4 linked regions of the Schizosaccharomyces pombe genome follow. Changing the gene in region 1 together with any one later gene gives a genetic interaction. Each region holds a gene or a part of one and is shown in the gene's direction. Other genes may lie near its edges.

Region 1 (3,719 bases):
GATATCTCTACAGAAAGTCTTCGTAAAAAGGTTTTGGCCAAGATGGAAGCAAAACGGATTTCCAGTGGATCTTCCTATGCTAGTACACTTAGGAAAGTTTATGATTTCTCTGAGCTTTCCCTTCCCACCAACGGTAAAGACTATGATGAGTTATACCTTCAATCTTCCCGTAATTCAGAACCTGAGATTTCTACTATTATCAATGATTCTTTACAACAGGAAAATATGGATGAGGATATTAGTGCCACTTCAATTCCGAAATCTCAGGCCGCCTATGGTCATGGATCTGTAACGTATCATGAAGTCCCCAGATACAATCTAACTTCTGCTTCCGTGGGATATAGTATATCTAGTCAACGTGGTCGTATAAAAAGCAGTTCTACCATTGACAATTTGAGTGCTATTTTAAGCTCTGAAGATTTACGTCACCCATCAATGCAACCCGTACCAGGAACGAAGCGTACTTATAGTAATTATTGTGAAAATGAGCCAAACAAGTCTAGCCAAAGTTTAGTCAGTTCTGAGTCCCATAACGTCGAAGGATGGAATTATTCGGAAACTGGTACAGTAGGTTTTTACGACCCTAGTGCCGAGATATCCGCCAGCATTGATGAACTTAGGCAGTCTACGCCTGTAGCCAGAGATAGCGAACTTTTAAGTCGTGCACATTCCTTTGATTTGAATCGCCTTGATCTTCCAAGTCAGGATAAGAGTACGTCTTACGAAGTCCCGAATGGTACTGAAAATCAATCACCACGTCCTGTTACTTCTCTTGGATTTGTGAATGAAACATTTTTTGAAGAGAAACCAAAGGCGCCCTTGCCACTTGGTCGCTTTTATATACATTTGAACAGCATTTTGAATATTTCGATAAGTGAAGTCCATTCACCTATCAAGATAATAGTTAATACGCCTACGCAAAATATGCAGCTTCCTTGGCAAGCTGTTAATGGGAATAATAGGTTGGACCATGATTTTGCTTTTCATGTTGACGATAACTTTAAAGTGAGTTTTATGTTTCTTGACATCCCTATTGAGGACAAGTCCAACGGTTCGAAAGGAGTATCTGCTACAAAAGACGTTTCAAACGGTAAGCCTGCTGAAACGAAATCCAAAGCTAGGAAATTTTTTGACAAGCTTTTCAACCGACGCAAAAAGAGAAAACTCAACAAGGCTGCTGCAGTTGAGAATTCAAAGGCTAAGAAGTCAGTGGTTATCAAGAAAGTCTCGGGTACTGCTACGTTAAATTTGGGTAATGTCAAAGACAGTTGTTTTGGAAAGGCTTTCAACGTAGAAATACCCATCATTTCCAGAGGCTTCTTGGAAGCGATTCCTGTAAAAATAAACTCTATAGGGAAACGTACACTTGGTAATCTAACTTTGACTTGTTTGTATATTCCTGAGCTTTCGGTTCCAGAGCAGGAATTGCCATTTACCTTAGAACAAGCTACGATGGACTTGCGACACGTTAGAAGTAACTATCTATATAATGAGGGATACTTGTATAGATTGGAAGATTCATCTATTCGAAGACGTTTTGTCGTTTTACGCTCAAAGCAGCTGAATTTTTATGCTGAAAAAGGTGGGCAATATTTGGATACTTTTCAGCTTTCTAAGACAGTAGTTTCAATCCCAATGGTAAATTTTTCAGAGGCAGTTTCAAACCTCGGTCTAGTAGCTGGAATATTGGCTACATCTGTTGATAGAAGGCATGTTCAGTTGTTTGCGGACTCTAAAAAGGTTTGCCAAAAATGGCTTCAGGTGATGAATTCACGCTCGTTTGCTCTAGATAGGGGTACTGAGAAATTATGGTTACAAGAATACGTGAATTTTATGGCTTAATATCTGAATTTATGAATACTAATCGTCTTAATGTATTTTTTGAATAATTTTTACTTATCGGATTTACTAAATGAGGGAGTTGAACTGAAATTATATAACTACTGAATTAATACTTATAGATCATTTTTCATTTTTAATCTGAATAATTAATCAACTTTTGGTTTTTTGAATATACTCTATAATGAGTAAAGTAATATAAAGGTGTTTTGTGTTGGCTAAATTTACATTACCTATATTTTGCCGTACGCACTCTAAATTGTTACAATAATATAGGGGTCAAGCAACTACTCAAATCACATTATTTAAAGGAGATGCAAAAACAAGATGATTTTTCATTTAAATATTGGACTATCAAAGTCCAACGGGGGTCAATTTTAAAAAGCCATGAGATGGAGAACCTTCAAAGTACATTGGGTTTTCCACCTCCTGAGATGACCTTTGGGAATAATTACATCTCAATTGAATACAAGAATCAGCCTGTAGTTGGATTTTTTACTGAAGATGCTCTTAAAATGGTTGGTACCAAACCTGAAGATGTAATGCAAGTTTCTTTTGCAAAAGACTGGGCCAAATCCAGAATTAAGCCCGGAGAAGAATACCCTGTGATTTACCCATTTGATTGGACTTATTATACTGATTATCAGGGAACTATACAACGTCCAAATGCAAAATTCATTGAAATTGATCAGGTAATACCTGTTCAAAAAATACTTAACGCAGGACAAAATTTATGGTTCAATGAGATAATTCTTTTCGAAGATGAGTTAGCAGATAATGGAAAATCAATGTTTGATGTGAGAGCTCGAGTTGTTCAGGGTCATTTAATATTGTTAGCACGCCTTGTCGTACGTTTAGACAAGGTAAATGTTCGATTGAATGAGACGAGGATATATATTGATTTGTTGAATGATTTTCTCTTGAAGGACTGCCGTAAAAAGCAAGCTACTTACGACAAAATTATTAAACAAATACCTGTGGGGGGAGACAAAGCTGCATTGCTAGATGATAACAATTGGTTAAGTGAGCGCCTTGATACCGTTGACCATAAAATCTATAAATTGAATTTTTGATGCTAAAATGATTCGCTAATGGCAGACATGAGAATTTAGAACTTTTGTCAACGAATGAGTGTTGAAGCAATTTACAAGTTTATTACGTTTAGTTCATGGTAATATTTATAATCATTTTCAACTAAGAGGTTATTAATTTAGGTTTTCTAATTGAGAAAGCAAAATAAATAGATACAATCTTTGGTACGATTAAACGGCGAAGATATACTACTGAAACTGCAAACAAATTTAAAATGGTCCAGTAAATTTTAGAGTATACTTAATTAGGAAGAATGATGGCCTCGTAATATTGATCGTTCGTTATAACATTGTATTTGGCAATCAACCTGTCACAACCTCTCTTCCCCTTTATATTGTACGACATTAATCGATCCGTTTTTTATTTCAACCCAACTCCTACGTATTTATTTGCAGGTAATAATTAATTTTATTAATTAAGAAAAGATTATCAAAAGATCCTTATCGTCATTCAGTAATGAGTCGCTGCTGTTTAAATTTGCCATTGAGACCAGCATTTGTTAAGCAGCCGGTATGGGGGAAGAGTATATACGGTCCCTTAAGAAGAAGATTTTCATTTTCTCCAATAAATGTTATTAATCATTCACCTTCGGAAACGAAGAGAAGAGACCCAGTAGAAGAACTCAGATACAAACCCCTTACACCTCCTCAAGATCCACGTAAAGTGGCTCCGCCAAATAGTTTTCTAAAGAAAATAAGTCTTATTTATCAAAAATATATCTCTCCTAAACAAAATTTATATTATGAGGCTACTGGTACTGCAAGATACATGTATTTTGAGGCTGCTCG
Region 2 (3,558 bases), on another chromosome or scaffold:
CTGCCCCTCTATGTTGGTCACTAACACTTTTGTACACAGAAGAAACAAATTCCTTAGGTCTGCCCCTAACCTCCTTTTTGAATAGCCTGAAATGACCGAGTTGTCGTTAATTCAGATAGTAGTATTCAATTGGGTTCTTAATCAATGTTAAAAGATTTATAAGTGTAACTGATGTATAAATTTCAATTTGTGAAATAGGCATACCAAGAATTGGAAAAAAAAGTAGCTTAGTATTACGAATTTGAATGGCTAAGATACATCAGTTAATGCTTGGCTTACGATCACTAAAAGAGCAAAAAAGTCTAAGAATTTGCTGTACGTGCATATTCCTTTCATAAAAAGTGGAAATTCAAGATGGTTTTAGTAGAATACTTTAGTAACGGGAATCACAAAAATTTTTTTAAAAAATATTTTATCCTAAGTAATAAATAAACAAAAGAATTTTGCTAAACATGTTCAGCAAAGTGTTAGAAATTTTTAAGATAGAGACATTAGGTGGACAATATAAGAAAAAAGTTCATGAAAAAGGACATTATAAATAAAGTTGTATGCAAACGCAAGCATTTCCACACTAGTTCAGTCAAGTTTCGGGATTTAGTAAACGAAACAGATAAAAAACGAACCTAAAGGTTACCAATTCCAATGGGAATAGCCAGTAATCTCTTATGCACTTATTTAAGGTGATTGTGCAGGTAACTCTAATTTGTCAATAAACCGTAGTGCATGCGTTCAAGTTACTTTCAAAAATGCTTTAGAGTTACTTGAAATTTTTGTAATAGTATCCTCAAAAGTCCAGGACTTAGCTTCTGACATAACGTTCAAAGATTGTCGAACTAATTCATCGATTTGGCTAGCACTGTGATGATCACTCTCTGCCAATAGCTTATCGTCGGGAACGCCTTTAAGTGTTTGAATAAAATTTTTATAACGACTATTTATACCTATTGAAAAAGAGTAGTAAAACTCGGTCGGAACTTTATGGGCTGAAAACTGAGAAATTTGCTCAATGCTACCAGAGTAGCTATGAAGGCAAATTTTGGGAGGGTAATGCTTTCGTTCTTCAGCAAGAGAATTTTCGTACTCTTCTTTCTTCATCTTTCGTATTTTCGTTTTGGAAGGAATCCAGCGACCATCCCAAAATTTAGCTAAACTGCTATACAAAAGAGCATACGTCTGAACGCAGTGAACACTAACAGCACGTTGGAATTCTGCAGCAAGACGCACTTGTGCTTCAAACACTTTACATTGATGTTCCATTTTTACGTAAAATGGTGATAGAGGTCCTTGAGGAAGTGAGGACCTTGCATCATATGGGCCAACTGGCAATCGAAATGGCTTATCCAAGCCGATTTCGCCAATGAGAGCGTTTGGGTACTGTTTAAGATGTCGACGAGCGTCCTCCAAAAATTCTGAAATCGGGACTGGGTTGGGAAGAGCATTGATAAAATCTTCATCAGGTATTGGAGTCAATATTTTTTCGTAATGCTTCTTTTTTCTCGTTTCACTACTTTGCAAATCTTTATCCAAATCATCGTACAAATAATAAGAAAACCATGGATGTATCCCAAAACTAGGTATTACTTTACCAGGGTATTCTTTCGCAAGTTGTTCGACATACTTTTGATCTGTCGGCCGGGTTCCCATTACTATTAATTTACCAACAGAAAGATTAGCAACCAAATGTAATTCTTGCGGTGCATCAGTTGGATGGCAATGAGCGTCAATGATAGATTCCATAATGATATTTGTAGTTAACAGAATGCTCTCTGCCCACCGTACTTTAAATAGTTGGGATAGGGAGAGTAACGTTGGAGTTGACGAAAACATGTGTATGCTAATGAAATTCAACAACTTCATTCGTTTCCCCATTGTTTGGTAATTACTTGATGACATAAAGATAAAACTTGAATATTACAGTCGTCTTCAATTTAATTAGTCTACTGCAAGCTCAAGGGCAGATACCTATTTCGTTGACTAGTTCCTCCATGTGACCACCTTACCAATAATATTTTCAAATTTATTTATTAGTGTTAGCGTCTAGGTAATTTGAGAACATACGATAAAATACATCTTGAATATCTGTTTATGGGAGAGGCAAATTATTCTATTTTTTGTCTGTAGTACCACATTTTTCCTAACCTCCACCCCGACGGTTTCATTCACCATACTTTGATCAAATTAATTTGGAACGAACGGTTCTTCTTTTATATCTCCTATAATAGAAAATAAATTACAATGAGTGAAGAAGAATCTCCGTATCAATTGACAAAGACTTTCTCGAATCCGAAGAATAACAAAATTGGACTAGCTATTTTCCTTATTGGAGCATTTATCAATTTAATTCACATTTATAAGCCCAAGGGTCCTTCTAACAATCCCACGAAACGGAATTATCATATTTCATTTGGACCCCCTGGTAAAATTCGATGGTTTCCTTTGGGTATTCGTAAAGAAGTTCGTAGCAATGTGTCAGGCCGTGAGATCATCATTAAGATGATAATCACATTCATACTTGTTCAGACCACATTGATTACTTTAGATCTTTATGTTTTTGGCGCGACTGGTCTAGGTTTAATTCTTTCATGGAAACTATTCGAAGTTGCTTGCGCAAATCCTGAAGATGAGGCTCTACTGGCTGAAAGAAAACAGCGCTTAAAAGAACAACGAGAAAAGAAAGAACAAAAGAAGGAGCAAAAGAAAGAGAAAAAAACCGAGAGGAGGAAAAAGAAAAAGTTGTAGAAAAATAAATCTGGATTATGTTTGTTTTACTTTAAGAGATATAGTGCGGTAGGTTAGCCATTCTGCTTTGATCATTAGTATATCAGTAGGATCTACAAGTGTCACAATATGTAATGGTATTTATTTACATTTAAAATTTAAATATACTAATACTGCCTATTGGTCGGAAAAGAACGCAATGTATTTATCATCCCGTATCGACCTAGCAAAAATAGAAGCACTAATAGCTGAGTATTTAAGGCTTTCCAAAATTAATTCATAAAAATAAAAAGGATCGAAAAGACTTAATTACTCTTCGGCAACATGATAAGATGTTTTTCTCATATCAAAAAGACGACGTCGGGCAGCGACTAAATCATTTTCCAACTTCAAAATTTGCACCTGTTGCTCAATTTCTTTACGACGATATTCATGAACACCCAATGAAGAGAAGTCTTCATGCTGCACCTCTTTAGCTTTGAGAGCAACAGACTCCACTTGACGAACCAATGCCTTACAGGCCTCCGTAACAGCTTTCGCAGCATCCTCAAGATGATCTTGAACCTTAGAGGCGAAATTTGCTTTTACACGAGAGGCTGCAACCAATTGTGCAGTTGCGGCGCTAACACCATTACATGCGACAATCAAATGCTCAAAACTAGATGTACCGTTTACGACTCCATCAGCAGTTTCGATTAAAGTAGTTGTAGCACGCGCAACGGCTTTCGCAGCTGATATAAGGCCTTCCGTCCAGCGGTTATGTTTTTTATAAAATGCACCACGTGAACTGGAACCTCTTCCTTGAGCAACAATCTCTGCCTGTGAAGCAGTTGCTGCTTT
Region 3 (3,764 bases), 590 kb from region 1:
CTTATAACGATGATTATAATATTGTTTTTAATTAACATACCGCGTACCGCTATGTTGTAGATCGCAAGTAAAGCTCACCGCAGTGCTTTGTATCATTAAACAGATATCAAACTGCGTAGCTAACACGATATGGGTTTTACCGATTTGCGTTGCGGTTCAGTAGATTGTTTCGGATATCAAAGTGCGAGTTTTACGTAAAGAAGATAAGAATTGGAGCCGCTAGTCGCAAATCTGAATCTTATAAAAGGGTGGGTAGTCCTAACGAACAGCACTCCTCTTTCGCACACTCTTCCTGAGCTAAATTGAAAGCTAATTTACAATCATTTTTAGGTAAGTAATCTATACGGATAACCGGAGGTTTCGTTATACTTGTTTACAGAAAATCACGGCACTTTGATACGGCGTTTATGGTAAAAAAACCGGAGAACTCCCCAATGTGGATTATGCATCGTTAAAGCGCTTTAGTTGGTACTTTTGTTTGTACAGGGATTGTAGCGAATTGAACTGCTGAAAGTGATTAATATATGTATAGTTGTTACAATACAATATCATCCATTAGAAATTCTTCTATATTGTATGCAAAAGTGCATGCAAGCATATATTAATCCAATATGGTACTGTTTAACTTCAATCCTCTAATACTTGATTTGCCTGTTACACTGTATTTTCCCATTGTAACTGCTTTTAATTTTTTACTCTACCTCTAATCCGTTAATGACATTGCCAATTAGGGTTCAGACTGCTAACTTGCTTCTAATATTTAGATATAAATTATTTGCGCACTCGTTTCCCCCTGCTTCGCGTTTTAAATTCGCAGTCTAATTGCCCTTTCTCCTTCTACTCAACCATTGCTCTCTCGATTTCTCTCCTTCCCGTTTTTAATATAAACAATGACTAAGGAAAATAAGCCAAGAGATATTGTCATCGTTGGCGCTGGCGTTATTGGATTGACCACTGCTTGGATTCTTTCAGACTTGGGTCTTGCTCCTCGTATTAAGGTGATTGCCAAGTATACGCCTGAAGATCGTTCTGTAGAATACACTTCCCCTTGGGCTGGCGCAAATTTCTGTAGCATTTCTGCTACTGATGACAATGCTTTGCGCTGGGATAAAATCACTTACCATCGTTTCGCCTACTTGGCGAAAACTCGTCCTGAAGCAGGAATCCGTTTTGCTGATCTTCGAGAATTGTGGGAGTACGAGCCGAAACACGACAAAATCAGATCCTGGAATACCTATGTCAGAGATTTCAAAGTTATCCCTGAAAAAGATCTTCCAGGAGAATGTATCTACGGACATAAGGCCACCACCTTTTTAATCAACGCTCCTCATTACTTGAATTATATGTACAAGCTGCTCATTGAAGCTGGCGTCGAATTTGAAAAGAAAGAATTGAGTCACATCAAAGAGACTGTCGAAGAAACTCCAGAAGCTTCAGTAGTATTTAATTGCACTGGTCTCTGGGCTTCCAAATTGGGTGGCGTTGAAGACCCGGACGTTTATCCGACTCGTGGACATGTTGTTTTGGTTAAGGCTCCTCATGTAACAGAAACTCGCATTTTGAATGGCAAGAACTCTGATACCTATATTATTCCTCGTCCCTTAAATGGTGGAGTCATTTGCGGCGGTTTCATGCAACCAGGAAACTGGGATCGTGAAATTCACCCTGAAGACACTTTGGATATCCTTAAGAGAACATCGGCTTTGATGCCAGAATTGTTCCACGGCAAGGGTCCGGAGGGTGCTGAAATTATTCAAGAATGTGTCGGATTCCGTCCTTCTCGAAAGGGTGGTGCCCGCGTAGAGCTTGATGTTGTTCCCGGCACCTCAGTCCCCCTTGTTCATGATTACGGTGCTTCTGGCACAGGATACCAAGCTGGTTATGGTATGGCTCTTGACTCTGTCATGTTGGCTCTTCCTAAAATCAAATTGGCTTAGGTTTATTTTTTTATCACGTTTCATATTTTTTAGAGCATTATCTCCCCTCTTTTTATTAGGATAATTGGTCGCTTCATTTGAGGTAGTTTTTATACCAAATTTCGAACCATGTTTTATAGACTTAACGGATTTGTTAAAACGCATTTCAATTCTACGATACACGTGTACAAGTAGTTCATTAGCTTTTGAGAGTTGCTAAATCATGAGGATGAAATAGCATTAGAATGTTGTACATTACCTTTACGTTTTTTGACGATTATTTAAAAAAATTTACATCTTTTGAGAATAATCTGAAAGACTAAAGTGCTTGGCATCCTTAATGCGAGCAAGTAAGGTTCCTTTCCTTCCGTGCCCTTGTTGTAGAAGCATTAAAATAGACTGAGCTTGATTCATATTAACGGTGGCATCTTTGTAGCTTAATTAGTAATTTTTGGGCCTTTAAAGAAGTTTTTCAATCCTCAATCGCAATATCCTAAATTCACCTATCCGCGACCAGCCTACCGTTTGCATACCACAGGTTTTGGGTAACTATCTAAACCAACTGTGAGGGAATTTAATTGTAATAGTTTATTCATTTTATATTATTTTATTTTGCTTTAATCACAATAATTTGATTAATCAGCTGCTTTTCGTCAGCTCATACAAATTACCAAGAGAAAGGAAAGCTTACATCCCATTATGGCTAATAGAAAGATTTTTCTTATTACATCTCTTATAATATCGTTATTGCTTATTCATATCTTCATATTCAGTCCACTGAATGAACCTGAGAAAAATGCAAAGGCAGGACCTTTAGGTCTTTCAGATGTCTCAGTGCCATCTGCTCCTAAATTACCTGCTAAGGATTCAACAGATTTTGAAGTATTTCTTGAAAACCCTGTTATCATTTTTAGTCGTCCTGGATGTCCTTATAGTGCTGCAGCTAAAAAACTTCTAACAGAAACCCTTAGATTGGATCCTCCAGCAGTGGTTGTAGAAGTCACCGACTACGAGCATACTCAAGAGTTAAGAGACTGGCTTTCTTCCATTAGCGATATATCTACAATGCCCAACATCTTCGTTGGTGGTCATAGCATCGGTGGATCTGATTCGGTCCGTGCTCTGTACCAAGAAGAAAAACTTCAGTCTACTTTGGATGAATGGACACATAATAAAGTTTTAATTTTACCTACCGACTAATTTTAATTTTTCAATATATGTTTTGATGCAATTTATTAATTACAATTTATGTTAAATCGATTACCCTTGGAAGTAACTCAATAATTATACTAGCCAAGTATGCTATAGCTTCTTTAAACCACCAACCACTACTCCAAACTATCCAGCTAAGCAACTTAGAGAGTAAAGCATTCATTGCATATATATTTAAAAAATTTGAATGCAATAATATATTCTTATTGTTACATTGGTCAATTTATTTGCATGGCGCAAGCTCCTGAATACCACTATGTAGGTAGTGTAGACTACCAACCGACGAGGCCTTCTGCCCATCAGAATTTAATAGAGCTTTATGGTCTTACGGAACTTGCTAAAAAGGTTGGACGTGTCGATGAATTTGGTAACAAGAGAAAGATGCGTCGTTCGTACAAGGCTTACATCCAAGACTTGCCAGGTTATAATGAAATTCTTCGTGATAATACTATAAAACAATGGCTTACAAACCCTATTCGAGAAGAAGTTCCTATTGACATTGAATTTTTACATCATGTGTTCTCTGTAGAGCCAGGCATTATTCCAGGTTTTAATCCTAAAGTGTTTGGCCTTGAAGACGACGTTGTAATGGGCAATGTTAGTCGTGATTCCTCTCAACCTCGTAGTCCAAGTCGT
Region 4 (4,835 bases), on another chromosome or scaffold:
AGAGAGATCATTAAGTGCACCCGCTATACTTAACTTTCCCTTTCTAGTGAAACTAGATTTAAGTGCTCCTGTTCCGGTGTAAATGCGAGCTAAGGCATCACCATTATTTGCCCAAATCGTTGAATGAACTTGCCAAAAATCATAACCAGCATTTTGCCGAGTATATATCATAACTTGTTCTAAAAACACTCTTGAAACAAGATTCTGAATAACATTTGTTCGGTCTAAGCAATCCAAACAATTGGTGCGAAAAACACCATCTTGTACCACAATGGATTGTCCTTCGTTGTTCTCAAAATAAAACCCGAAAGTTTCTGCATCGCTATAAATCATTGGGCGTATTTTATTGGCATCTTCAAAGGATCTAATTTGAGAATGATAGTCAAACTCCGTTAAATGTATTAAATCTTTTTCCGGAGAAAGTTGAATATGCTGTCTCAGACGCTCAGATAAACTGCGTTCTCCCGAACCTGTCCCTAAAAGATTGATTATGTGCACTGGTCCGTATTCTTCAATAAGACTGGTAAAGTGTTTTTCAAAAGCAGCTCGAGTTGCTTCTAAAGAGCGAGTTATATCAATTTTTTGACCAAACATTTGAACACCTTCTTGTTCCCAAAAAATTGGAATACTGCCACGGACCTGACAATAGCTTACACAGTATTTAGAGGAATCGAGGATTGTCTCCGTCTCAACAAAGTTAGCAACGTTTCCATCATCATCTACGCCACGTGACAAGAATCGGGTACCAGCGCGAAGCGAAGACAGTCTAGATATTAAAGAAAGCCGAATAGTCTGAATTCCTAACTTAAATTGTTCGGTGCTCGCAAAACCTCTGATGGCACATGTAAAGAAGCGACATCCATCCAATGCACTCTTTTCATCCCCATTCAAATGGGAGCGAAATTTGATCAACTGTCTAAGCATAAATTCGTTCCACATAAATTGAGTATGCATGCTATCATATTGAGGCTCCGTCATTGTTTGAGACGTACGAAGTTGCAGTCGGGTAGTAATGTCAAAATCGAGAGAAAAGTAAAATGATCCATTTGTTAATAGCTTTCTGAGACTACTGAATGGTTCAGCGGCATACTTGTAAGAATCATAGCCTTGGGTATCGGTATCGTAACCATCCGGAATATCAGGCGAGTAATTTTCTTGTCGAATGTGATCCCAGTTTGAACGATTAACACTGTAAAAGCAGACCTCCATGATACGAAAAACTCTTTCTTTATCTCGCACACGTGCTACCTCACTAGCTCCACTAATCACGCACAAAAAATTGGACCCTTCTAATTCAATCAGACCTAGAGTACCATAAATTCGATGACTGGAGATTTTTCGAAATCCTTCTAACGGCTTTTCTGACAATGCCGTAAATTCTGCAACACATACTGATAAAGAGTTTTTGTTCTGAGGAACCGAATGAAACATAAGAGCATGGTCCTTATTGACTAAGGCCAAGGATCTTGGCTTTTCCCTCAGCAGACATTGCATCTTAAGATTCACAAATGTGAACTATAAATAATAAAATTCGTTCTGTAATGAACGATGCAAGTCTTTACCAACGATGTTTGTCCGAACAAGTTATAAATCTTGGGATACGAAGTTGGGTGGTGTTGGGTGACAAAAACGTTCGTTACTTAAACATTATAGAAGCGCTTCTGTAAATTAGAATAAGTAAACGGCTTATTTTAATTTACTATGTTAAAATGTATTCCAAAAAATTTTGGTTCTAATATATGGAAGTTTCTGGTCAATTTTTAAAGTGCATTTGCTTTACAAAACTCGTAACCCTTGTAAACATATTTCATTGATTATGGGTAGAAAACCATTGAAACAAGAAAATCATAAGAGAAGCGATCTTGCTAAAACGTAACGTAACAGGATTTCAAGGCACTTCCATAAGATTGGTACTGTCAAAAAATGTATTATAATTCACTTTCGTTCATCAACAGTGCCATTGTTAATTTCAAAAACACCAAGTTGCACAAGAATACAGCGGTTACTCCAACGTATTAAAAATAAAAGTCAAACAGATACAGTATTCGGCAGAAAAAACCCCCATCTTAAGAGCTAAGATTATTTGAGCTCTCCGAAGATGTTCGCTGACGCTGAATAGCTTCAACTATGGCAATTTTTTACATTTCAAATGTGTTGGTTACTGTAATAGTATGTTTAATCTCGCAAATAGTGGTTATTGTATTGTAGCCACTTGAACCGAATGCTTATTAATTGAAAGGTTAGATGTTTTTTGCAATACAGTTAATTTCCACAAATAGAGCAGCAAAGTATAGTACTCATTGTGGCTACGTCGAGAATAAGTATCCAACTTGCTAGCCAATTCCGAGTAATCAGCGCACATCTAAAAATTAAGATTGGGTTTCCGGCATTGATATTGTCACTTTTTAGAAGGCTCGATCGATACTTATAATCTTGATTTTTCAGAAAAATTAAAGAAAAAATTTTCCTGGCTGGAGCATATTGATATTCCAACAGTCTGCAATTCGATTTTGACTCGAAGTGTTTGTTCCTTGCTTAGGTCCCTGGCTTTACTTTAATATAGGCACTTTTCATGAGAATCCATTGAAATTGTACGTTTTCTAAAGCCATAAAAATTTAAGTTAGGTCTCCTCTGTAAATTGTCGTGAATATTTCATAAGTGAGACAAGTCGTAATGGCGTTACTAAATAGGTTGGCAAAAACCTTTTCCCCTTATTATGGATTAAACAAAGTTGAACAAAAGCTTTTAATAAAAATAGATTGGTTCATACTTTCTTACTGTTGCGTTTCATATTTTATTAATTACTTGGATAGATCATCAATAAACAATGCATACCTTAGTGGTATGCAAGAGGATTTGAAAATGCATGGTAATGAATTGCAAGATATAAACGTTGTTTTTACATGTGGATACATTATAGGACAATTGCCAGGTTCTTATGCATTACAGAGAGTACCAGCAAGACTTTGGTTTTCGGTTATGAATATTTTATGGGGACTTATGACGATTTTTTCATTTGCGGTACATTCCGTTCGAGCATTGATGATTTTACGCTTTTTCATGGCGGTTGCGGAGGCATCTACATTTGCTGGTACGCATTATATATTGGGCGCATGGTACAAAGAAAGTGAACTATGCAAACGTGCCGGAATTTTTTCAGCCTCTGGTTTAGTCGGCACAATGTTTGCTGGGTATTTGCAAACAGCAGTTCATTCATCATTAAATGGTAAAGGTGGTTTATCTGGTTGGCGTTGGCTTTTTATAATTGATGGCATTTTGACGATTCCTCTTTCATTATATGGGCTCTTTCTGTTTCCTGACGTTCCAGAAACAACCAAGGCTCCTTATTTTACAGAACAAGAAAAAGAATTAAGTTTCAAAAGGCTACCCGCTCGCCCCAAGAAGAAGCCATTAACGCTAAAAGCGATAAAGGATATTGTACGTTCATGGCGAATTTACGGTTTGTGCATCCTTTGGATTTTTAGCGGAGAAACACAAGCTATAGCTGTCAATGTATTGATGGGTCAGTGGATGAAATGGAGCAACAAATTTTCTGTTGCCCAAATAAATAATTACCCAACTGTGATTACAGCTGTTGGCGTAGTATCAACGTTAGGTGCTAGTGTTATTTCTGATAAATTAGCTGGAAACCCAAGATGGCCTTTTGGACTTTTTCTGTGCGTAATTACTACTGTTTCTGCTACAATACTTCTAGCATGGAACGTGCCAGATGGCGCAAAATTCTTTGCTTATTTCGCTTCTGGTTGTACATATGCTGGACAAGCAGTTTGGTTTTCTTGGGCAAATGACATTTGCCGGGATAATGATCAGGAAAGAGGAGTTGTTGTGTTTTTGATGAATATGTGTCAGAATATCTGGCATATTTGGTGGGCACCTATAATGTATCCCAATACTGATACGCCTCGATTTATAAAAGGATTAATTGGTTTGCTGGTGGTAGGAGGAATAGTCTTTGTTAGCTCTTGTATTGTTAGTTACATGCAAATCCGCGATAAAAGAATTAAACGATCCATCCAGGATGCAAAAGATTTCGATGATGTATTCACTGAGCATGAAAGTTTAGAGTTAAAAAAAATAGGCAAAAATGATGAGGAATCACTCAACACAACTAATGCGGTCAAAGAAATTAGTTCTCCAGGGCTTGTGATAACGCGACAGCGAATTTCCATGCCAAAAGAAACGAATGCCCAAGATTAGTACTAGAAGATTAATGACATAGTATAAATATTCCTTATGCCTTTAAGTACACATTTAGAGTAAATTTGCTGTTCATATTGATATCAACCTAACATAAAAATTTACCACAGTTGGCTCATCTAATTGACCAAGCCCTTTGACGCAAACGCAAACGAATACCTTTGCACACATACTCAAAAAGAATCTGCTAACAAACGATTTAAGGTGCAGCTGAAGTTAAAAATTTATAACCATTAAATAGAAATACCAACTATACGTATAGTTTGGATGGTATCCGGCAATGATCAACAAGTTATTGAGTATACATCAGTCCTAAAGGAATTTAGCGATGGTGTAGACTTAATGGAGCTAAAAGAAAATTTTTTATATATTAGGACTAGAGAAAAAATTGAAGCTAAATTAATCTGGGCAGGAGAGTGGGAATGGAAGCCCGTGAACGAAACAAATGAAAATAACTTGGAAAGAGGGAGACAATACCCTAGCGCCAATTCCGCACTAATGGAAAATTCTCCAGAATTTGCTAAATGGTTTCATGGACAATTGTTTAATCGGCTTTGCGTTCTAGGCTCCACATCTTCGTCGAGAAAAGACATGCTTTGAACAGTGTTGGCTATTT

The links.
Region 2: mutations in tip41 (region 1) and SPOM_SPAC688.12C together harm fitness less than expected from each alone (positive genetic interaction), as found in Schizosaccharomyces pombe (one large-scale study listed by BioGRID).
Region 3: mutations in tip41 (region 1) and grx3 together harm fitness less than expected from each alone (positive genetic interaction), as found in Schizosaccharomyces pombe (one large-scale study listed by BioGRID).
Region 4: mutations in tip41 (region 1) and liz1 together harm fitness more than expected from each alone (negative genetic interaction), as found in Schizosaccharomyces pombe (one large-scale study listed by BioGRID).

Annotation. Positions count from the first base shown.
Region 1 is NC_003421.2:1,145,576-1,149,294, reverse strand, and holds tip41 (TIP41 type 2a phosphatase regulator Tip41), read left to right. Parts: upstream 1-2,065; 5' UTR 2,066-2,153; coding exon 2,154-2,912; 3' UTR 2,913-3,080; downstream 3,081-3,719. Other genes in the region: anillin-related medial ring protein Mid1, read left to right, coding at 1-1,842; ubiquinol cytochrome-c reductase assembly protein Cbp3, read left to right, coding at 3,388-3,719. UniProt on the Schizosaccharomyces pombe protein: Involved in negative regulation of the TOR signaling pathway in response to type of available nitrogen source. Activates the PP2A phosphatase ppa2.
Region 2 is NC_003424.3:3,137,903-3,141,460, reverse strand, and holds SPOM_SPAC688.12C (uncharacterized protein), read left to right. Parts: upstream 1-2,136; 5' UTR 2,137-2,235; coding exon 2,236-2,739; 3' UTR 2,740-2,787; downstream 2,788-3,558. Other genes in the region: scn3 (TatD DNase family Scn1), read right to left, coding at 730-1,737; clathrin adaptor End4, read right to left, coding at 3,028-3,558.
Region 3 is NC_003421.2:1,734,779-1,738,542, reverse strand, and holds grx3 (CIA machinery monothiol glutaredoxin Grx3), read left to right. Parts: upstream 1-2,436; 5' UTR 2,437-2,615; coding exon 2,616-3,116; 3' UTR 3,117-3,264; downstream 3,265-3,764. Other genes in the region: dao1 (D-amino acid oxidase), read left to right, coding at 891-1,937; rox3 (mediator complex subunit Med19), read left to right, coding at 3,360-3,764. UniProt on the Schizosaccharomyces pombe protein: Monothiol glutaredoxin involved in the biogenesis of iron-sulfur clusters. Binds one iron-sulfur cluster per dimer. The iron-sulfur cluster is bound between subunits, and is complexed by a bound glutathione and a cysteine residue from each subunit.
Region 4 is NC_003423.3:3,434,212-3,439,046, reverse strand, and holds liz1 (plasma membrane pantothenate transmembrane transporter Liz1), read left to right. Parts: upstream 1-2,469; 5' UTR 2,470-2,674; coding exon 2,675-4,219; 3' UTR 4,220-4,269; downstream 4,270-4,835. Other genes in the region: syj1 (inositol-1,4,5-trisphosphate 5-phosphatase 1), read right to left, coding at 1-1,494; SPOM_SPBC4B4.12C (uncharacterized protein), read left to right, coding at 4,487-4,819.